Linked DNA regions of Zea mays. The protein of the gene in region 1 interacts with the protein of each later gene in a pairwise test. Links are inferred from orthologs where the notes say so. Each region holds a gene or a part of one and is shown in the gene's direction. Other genes may lie near its edges.

What was found. The genes of interacting proteins can lie anywhere in the genome.
Region 2: the proteins of Zerumbone synthase (region 1) and ABC transporter I family member 10 interact in binary tests that used the Arabidopsis thaliana proteins (3 or more experiments, as listed by UniProt). The link is inferred for Zea mays from reciprocal best matches to the Arabidopsis thaliana genes ABA2 and ABCI10.

What each region holds. Positions count from the first base shown.
Region 1 is NC_050100.1:3,427,729-3,431,422, reverse strand, and holds Zerumbone synthase, read left to right. Parts: upstream 1-1,387; 5' UTR 1,388-1,666; coding exon 1,667-1,713; exon of another isoform or gene 1,714-2,116; intron 2,117-2,203; coding exon 2,204-3,008; 3' UTR 3,009-3,181; downstream 3,182-3,694. UniProt on the Arabidopsis thaliana protein: Involved in the biosynthesis of abscisic acid. Catalyzes the conversion of xanthoxin to abscisic aldehyde.
Region 2 is NC_050103.1:179,026,785-179,031,093, reverse strand, and holds the start of ABC transporter I family member 10, read left to right. Parts: upstream 1-1,500; 5' UTR 1,501-1,536; coding exon 1,537-1,836; intron 1,837-2,738; coding exon 2,739-2,825; intron 2,826-3,601; coding exon 3,602-3,727; intron 3,728-3,801; coding exon 3,802-3,924; intron 3,925-4,137; coding exon 4,138-4,309.

The sequences.
Region 1 (3,694 bases):
CATTCCTGATAAGCTAATAATTAGTATATATACGAGGAGTGAGTTGATTCCACCAAAATTGATTAAATGAACTTATGATGTATCACCTCATGAAGCATAAAGTGACTCCACAAACCAAACACACCACATGTATCCAGAGTATGCCATACTCTAAAACTAGCCTACAATAGCTTTGTTTATTGAATTTATGTTATCTTTTCTTAGCACATACAGTACTCATGAACTGTTGGAAGTCTTCAGTTGTTGGTCAGCAGTGACCGTTAAAAATAAAGGTTTAGTTTTTCTTTAAGCAAGAGAAGAAAAATTATATAAGTTGCAAACCTAATTTTAAATGTAAGAATCATCACGCTAGTTTTGCATTGAATACCAAACTGCAGCGCAGCATTTATTATTATTTATTTAATTTTGAGATGTATTTTACTGAACTATACATATTTTTGTTAAGACCATATACCCTATAGCAAAATTCTAGATCCACCGATTGCCGCTGACTCACAGTAGTAGTAAATAGTAGAATAACATGCACAACAATAAGTGGAAGGACCAATGCTTAGAGCAACGATGGCTCCGTTCACATGATACATCTCGCGTGTAAGTTTGATGTAGTCGATCGGAATTTGATGCAGTTTGATGTTCGCAGTGCAGTACTGTGAATAGCCACCAGGAAGAAGACAAACGGTTTCATGCGAACAACCACAAGAAAGAAGATGAACGCGCTCCCACGAACAAGTCGATGTCGATCAAGAAGTTGTGTTGTGCGCTCCCTGAAAATCTGATCGACTGCTGTCTCGAGCAGAATCTTTTACAACGACGATGGCTTTAGAGACCTGCTTACTCTGTATCTTGTGCGCGCAAGAACACAGAGCCGAGAAAGCACAACGCAACGTAGCAGTGGATAGCTCTGGTGATTTTACGTGTCATTGGATGAGAGGTAGCGCCTCTTTTTACAGGCACCAGAACCCCCTTTAGCTTATAGGTTAATGCCATAAAAGGACTATCAAATGACGGTTTGACCATCAAGAGACATATTACTGACCATGAAAAGACCATCAAAACAGTAACTCTCAACCATCAAAAGCATGAGTTACTAGTTATAAGGGCATGTACAATAAGTGTCTTAAGTTGTGCCTTAGATGTGTCTAGGGGGGTGAATGTAAAAAAACTAAAGACATGTATCTTGACGAAGACACAATGTCTTAGCTCTATATTCGAGACAGAAGACTAGCTGATTGGTCACTTTAATTTATTGAATGCTCTGATTGGTACAATAAATATGGTAAAACACATGTTTTAGACATGACCACGGTTGTGTTTTAGTTGTGTCTTGTATATAGAGTACCGTGCAGCAGTGTCTAGGTTATACATGCCCTAAAAGAGGGTCATCAAGATAAAAGGTCATCAAGAACCAATTAACTAATTGTAACTTTCACCGCTAATGTACCTTGTGGTTTATTTTATTAATTAGTCAATGGGTCTTAACCCAATTATTCAACACACGAAACGCCAAATGCCCGGTGCGCTGTCGTTTACTGGCCCACGTGCGCCAGCTCCTCCACCCAGATTTTGACAACGCCTTCCCAACTTGCTCGCTCCCGCAACGACAGCGCGCACTTGGATTCGGCGACCACCGGAGCGCGGAGGAGGCACAGGCGCCGATCTAAAGACGATGGCCGCCGCGGGCTCCTCGCCGTCCTTCTCCTCCTCGAGTAAGCGGTGCGTGCCCTGCTTCTTTCTTCAATTTTCCCCCGATCCATGGCTCGTGCGTGGGTTCCCTGCTCCTAGCTCCACTCCCCCGTCCATGGCTTGCATCTATGCTGCACAGCTCGGTTGCTGTTGCAGTTCAACCTACTTGTTACTCCAAAAAGAAGGCGGGCTTATCCAAGATATTGATCAAAATTTCCACCTTTTCGCGTCGAAGGGCGATGAATTGAAGGATCCACCCAGGCCAAGCACTGGTGCTCTGTGCTTATCTTTTAGCGAGCGAAGTGGTCATTTCCCCCTCTCTTCTTTATGGGAGGAAAATAGGAAATGGTGTGCCAAGTGTATCCTCAACCATTCTACTGTTCCAAACGTGCAGTATACATCGGCATACAGTCGATCCAGTTGCAACACCATAGTACGGTGCTGCTCCATCTCCATCCAGTAGCTGTGCCTGTGTTTTTGTCCTTCAGATTTGATCTTGCGTTTCTTGCCCCAAACACAGGCTGGAAGGGAAGGTGGCCCTCGTCACTGGTGGCGCCACCGGCATCGGTGAGGCCATCGTTCGCCTCTTCATGGAGCACGGCGCCAAGGTCTGCATCGCGGACATCCAGGATGAGGCTGGGCAGCAGCTGCGCGACGCCCTGGGAGGTGACGCGCAGGGCGCCATGTTCGTCCACTGCGACGTGACGTCGGAGGAGGACGTGAGCCGCGCCGTGGACGCTGCGGCGGAGCGGTTCGGCGCGCTGGACGTGATGGTGAACAACGCCGGCGTGACGGGCACCAAGGTGACGGACATCCGCAACGTGGACTTCGCGGAGGCGCGCAGGGTGCTCGACGTCAACGTGCACGGCGTGTTCCTGGGGATGAAGCACGCGGCGCGCGCTATGATCCCGCGGAAGCGGGGCTCCATCGTGTCGCTGGCCAGCGTGGCCAGCGCCATCGGCGGGACGGGCCCGCACGTCTACACGGCGTCCAAGCACGCCGTGGTCGGGCTCACCAAGAGCGTCGCCGCGGAGCTCGGCCGCCACGGGGTGCGCGTCAACTGCGTGTCCCCCTATGCCGTGCCCACGGCGCTGTCGATGCCGCACCTGCCCCAGGGCGCGCGCGCAGATGACGCGCTCAAGGACTTCCTGGCCTTTGTCGGCGGCGAGGCCAACCTCAAGGGCGTCGACGCCATGCCCGAGGACGTCGCCCAGGCGGTGCTCTACCTGGCCAGCGACGAGGCGAGGTACGTCAGCGCGGTCAACCTCATGGTGGACGGAGGCTTCACAGCCGTAAACAATAACCTCAGGGCGTTTGAGGATTAGTTGAGGCATTTATGCCAGCTCTGGGATTGGGAGGGAGTATTACCGCTATTTCTTCTGCTGTTGTGACAAGTGTGTGCAAGACTAATAAACCGCAGCATGTTCATGTAGCCAACAGATGATTGAACATTCCAAGTATCATTGCTGAATTCACGCATATAGTTGCTCTTCAAATAGATCAAGTACAATTTCGTCCTACAGCGTTGCTGCTGTGGCTATATAATGACCTTCCAAAATCAAGAAGAATCTAATCACCAGCTCGAGGTTGATGCGAAGCTACAAAAGCATCATTATCAAGTGAGCAGGAGCTTTCGGCCAATTCAGTTACACTAGCCCGTAGGGCATCCCTTTTCTTTTCACAATGTTAAGTAGGATACCGTTACTAGTGCTCTCAGGCTGCAGCAAATCCCCTTCGCAAACAGCCATGCTCGTGGGAGTAGAAGCCTGACTGGCTCTGGTGTTGGCAGTGTTGCATGCCTCAGTCTCAGAATTTTCTGTGCATCTACCTGGCATAGTAACACTTGAGCTATTGTTCGGCGGTGGATCGCTTGGGAAGGTAGGCTCTGACCAAATACCTGCAGCATTACCCTCCACAGTGCATGCCCTAGTTAATTCCGTGTCGATCTCAAGGTTATGAATGAAACTGATGAACTTGTCAGCAGATGATGTCCTCATTAGAGGCCCACCAC
Region 2 (4,309 bases), on another chromosome or scaffold:
ATAACGTTATAAGCAGAACCGATCGTCCGGTTTTGAATGTCTACAACCAGAGCGTGATCCCGGCCCTTAGGAACTTGGCCAATTCCTTGTACGTCATCGAAAAATATATTCATTTTTTGTGTGTCACTAGCCTTACTGGTCTTACATGTCATACACAAAAAAATCTATATGTCACTTAGTGATACACAAGAAATAAGTAAAAAATCTAATGGCATAGAAGGAATTTTCCTAGGAACTCCTCTTCTAACTAGTTAGTTATCTATACATCACTATAGTTCCTATATACTCACTTCGTATCAAAATAGTATTCGTTTTAGATCTTATTTTTTATGTCTATACTCAAATAGATGATGATGAATCTAGACACGTGTATGAAACACATACATCCAATCTTGTATGAATCCCTTAATTATATGAAACAAATTTTAATTTGAGACAAGGGGAGCATTATATAACCAGACATTGTTTAAATGGAACATCTATTAAAAACACAATGCAAACTCATAGATTAGATGAGTGTGAGTTGTGAGGTGTATAATGTGAGGTCAGACAATGCGAGATCAGTGACAGTGAGGGACCATCGATGACTAAATAGTGGATTGGTCTAAGATACGACTCATTTAATAGTGTCATGGTCCAATCCGACATAACTAAAAGTGTGCTTGTACCGTGCCTAGGCCGTTTTCTCGACTCACAGTGCCAACCCAATTCATTACCATTTTTTATTTTGAAATTATTAGTATATATATTTATAGTTTATATCTTTTATATAGCACAAGCTAATAAGTGGTGCACTAGTTAAGAGATAGGATGAAAATGGTCGAAAAAGATCAAAAAACATCTAAATTGATTTTGTTTTCATATTATTTTGACGGGACGAAAACATAAAATCAACTGTTGAAATACGGGATCGAGATTGTCGATTATTCAAAAACAATCGAAAACGATAAGCTTTAGGCAGAAAGACAAATATTTTGTAGTTTCCATAAATTCATAATAAAGTGGTAGAATGCCTAATTTTTAAGATATTAAAATACACAAATAAATCTTCTTTATCATTCATATCATTTATAGTAATTATAATTTTTGTTTTTCTGTTCTTCATTTATTTAAACACAACAAAAGTATGTAACTTATATAAATTATACTCTAAATGTATCTCATATTATATAAAACGGTATTATCATGACTCGTAAATGGAAAATACGAAAATAATTGAAAAACTAGCTAAATCGTTTCCGTATCATTTTTAATCGATTTCCGAACAGTTCAAAAATGTATAGGTAAAAACGGTATGCGGAATGGGACGGTACAAATTCAAATGAGCATATATTTTTTAGATTTTTCGTTCGTAAGTACACCAGGAACGACGCGGGAAGAAATTCCCACATCAGGAAAGCCATCATCGGCCCGGCCCATCCGTGAACGAAAGCCATGACAGATCGGTCTATTTGCTGGAAGCATGGCCGACACCTATGACCTATCCATGTAGAGCACCGGCCCAGAAACTCCTACTGCTCTTCTTAGCTCGCCGAAATGACGCACGGCCTCGCCGTCGGCTTCGGCTCCCTCCGCTGCGGTCCCTCCGTGTCGTCGTCCTCTGCCACCATTCATCGCACCCTGGTCGCTCCCCCTCGTCGAAGCTTACGGATATGCTCCTCGACCTTCCCTCCTCCACCCGCGCCCGCCATCGAGGGTCGTGACGTCAGCCTCTCGGTGACCACGCGGCGGGGCAGGGTGTTGCCGGTGCTTAAGGGATGCTCCCTCCTTGTCCCGCCCGGGCAGCTCTGGATGCTCCTCGGCCCCAACGGCTGCGGCAAGTCCACGCTGCTCAAGGTTCTTCCTCTGAACTAGGAGTAGGTCGAGAAGGCAACATCTCGTGTTTTTCACTCCCACTTCATTCGTGCAGGCCTGAGAATTGAAATTGGAACTGAATTTATGAGACTGGTGATTGCCTTAAGAGATTGGTTTAGCACATCTGTTATCTTCATTCAATAGTAAAACGTGGAATGCACCCTGTTTCCGCCAATTTTGAAACGTAGAAAATAGTTTTCTGCTGTGTAGTGGCTAATTCACTTGGTAGATATGAGGTAGACTGGCAGATACTGTCAATTATGTCTGACATTGTTTGGTTTTTTTTCGATTGGAAATGTAAGTAGGATGCGGTATGGATAGAATCAAGATCCAGCCCATCAACCTCGTGAGTCGCGAGTACAGTTTTTTGGGGAGAATGGGTAGTTGAACTTCATGAAAATGTTCAGACAAGTCGTTGTACCGTTTTGGGGACCCAAAATTCTCAGGAAAGGTTTCGATAACTTGTGAATGTGCATATCATTTTCTATAGAAAGTCCACATTAAAAGCCAATAAGAAAATCTAATAAAACCTTTGTTACAGATGTCACAAATGTCAATTCTGCATCTCTTTTGAGGTATGGTGCATCATCACAAAGCAATAAAGGGTTGAGTCCTGGAGTACAAATGGCAGTACACAGAGTTAATTTGCACCCATTGTTTTTGGACCAGAATATAGTTTCTGTTAATTATAAAAAAGATCTAGTGGCTGTTACATTCATGTGGAAGAAACAAACATGAATTGGTTTTATCTACTTATGCTTGTAAAGTTGTTAGCTACATGCATTGTGCTCATTTCTGATTACTAGGTAACAAAACTTTGAGAATTTATTTGTCCATTTCTTATCACTGTCACTGGGAATAAATGTCAACGCCGTGTTTTTTAGGTTTTAGCAGGTTTTCAGAATCCAACGGCCGGTACAGTGTATATAAACAGACCATGCAGCTATGTCTTCCAAAATCCTGATCACCAGGTGGTAAAACTTCTCTTTCTTTAATAGTTCTCTAACTGGTCTGTTGTCAGGTCTCACAATAGATTTTAAGTGGAATCTGTAGTATACTAGTATGCCAACACAATTAACTCACATAGCATCTATTGAGTTCAGTTTCAGTGTTACCTGTATCAGCTTATGTGTTAAACTCAGCATCTATTGGCTATTTTACTTTGTATTGGACAAGTAAATAATGTATTTGGTTAAATGATATAAATTGATGCTTGTGATTATACATTTAATCATGTGGCTCGGTATATGAGATATGTCATTAGGCATGGACAATTTGTCACAAAAACTTTTCCATGCATACCCTGCTAGTGCTCCAATTCATACAATATCCACTTAAATGCATTCGGAGCATAGTTTTAGGTGAGTCATGCAATCTGATTATAATATTCTTGTACCATGCTAGAGAAAAGGTGCCATCACTTGTGGTCTAGTTGTTCCTTAGTACCCTTATTTGTTGGGGACATAACATTTATAGGAGTCTTGTTGAATCAAATCTAACTTATTGTCTGCTAAACCATGAACTTTATGATCTTCATTTTTTTAGTTTTGACAAAACATTTATGTTGACAACTCAATACTCAAATGAACACATTGGAATCAAACAAGTTATAGCGTGTACGAAAGCTTCCACATGGCGGTCAAGCCAATAACTGCAACCCCAGACTGTTCATGTGCCCAAGTCTTTATACCATGTCTTTATATGGAAGAACGACTGTGATTTTCTTAGTTGTGTCCTTTGGATGCAGGTTGTGATGCCTACAGTGGGATCTGATGTAGCATTTGGTCTCGGTAAGCTCAAACTTCCGTTAGATGAGGTCAGGTTAAGGGTATCAAAATCTTTGGATGCCGTTGGGATGTTGAGCTACTCTCAGGTAGGCTTCTAAATTCCAGCTTTTGGATCATAATCTAAAGTCTTCACAATGTTAATAACCCTTCATTCAAACAGAGGCCAATCCAAACTCTGAGTGGTGGGCAGAAACAGAGAGTTGCAATTGCTGGTGCGTTAGCTGAAGCATCCAAAGTATTACTGCTGGACGAACTGACCACATTCTTAGATGAACATGACCAGGTTTGAATCTCCTCCATATTCTGATTTTTTTGATTTCATGAATTTCTTTCCCATTTGTTGGAGCTTATCATCGTGCCTTATGTTAGTTTTGTCTAACTTGCATCGTAACATTTTATGGCGAATAAAAACTTCTGTGTTCTTAAGTGATTTTACTGGTTGTGATATACGCTAGTTACAGTTCTGCACTCTAATCTCCATTTGCTGCAACTGCAGATAGGCGTGATAAATGCAGTGAGGGACTCTGTGGCTGCCGATGGGGAGGTCGCCGCATTATGGGTGACTCATCGGTTGGAAGAGCTGAAATATGCAGATGGTGCCATCTATATGGAAGATGGCCAGATAATCATTCAAGGCGACGTCTCTACCATATCAAAATTTATAAAGA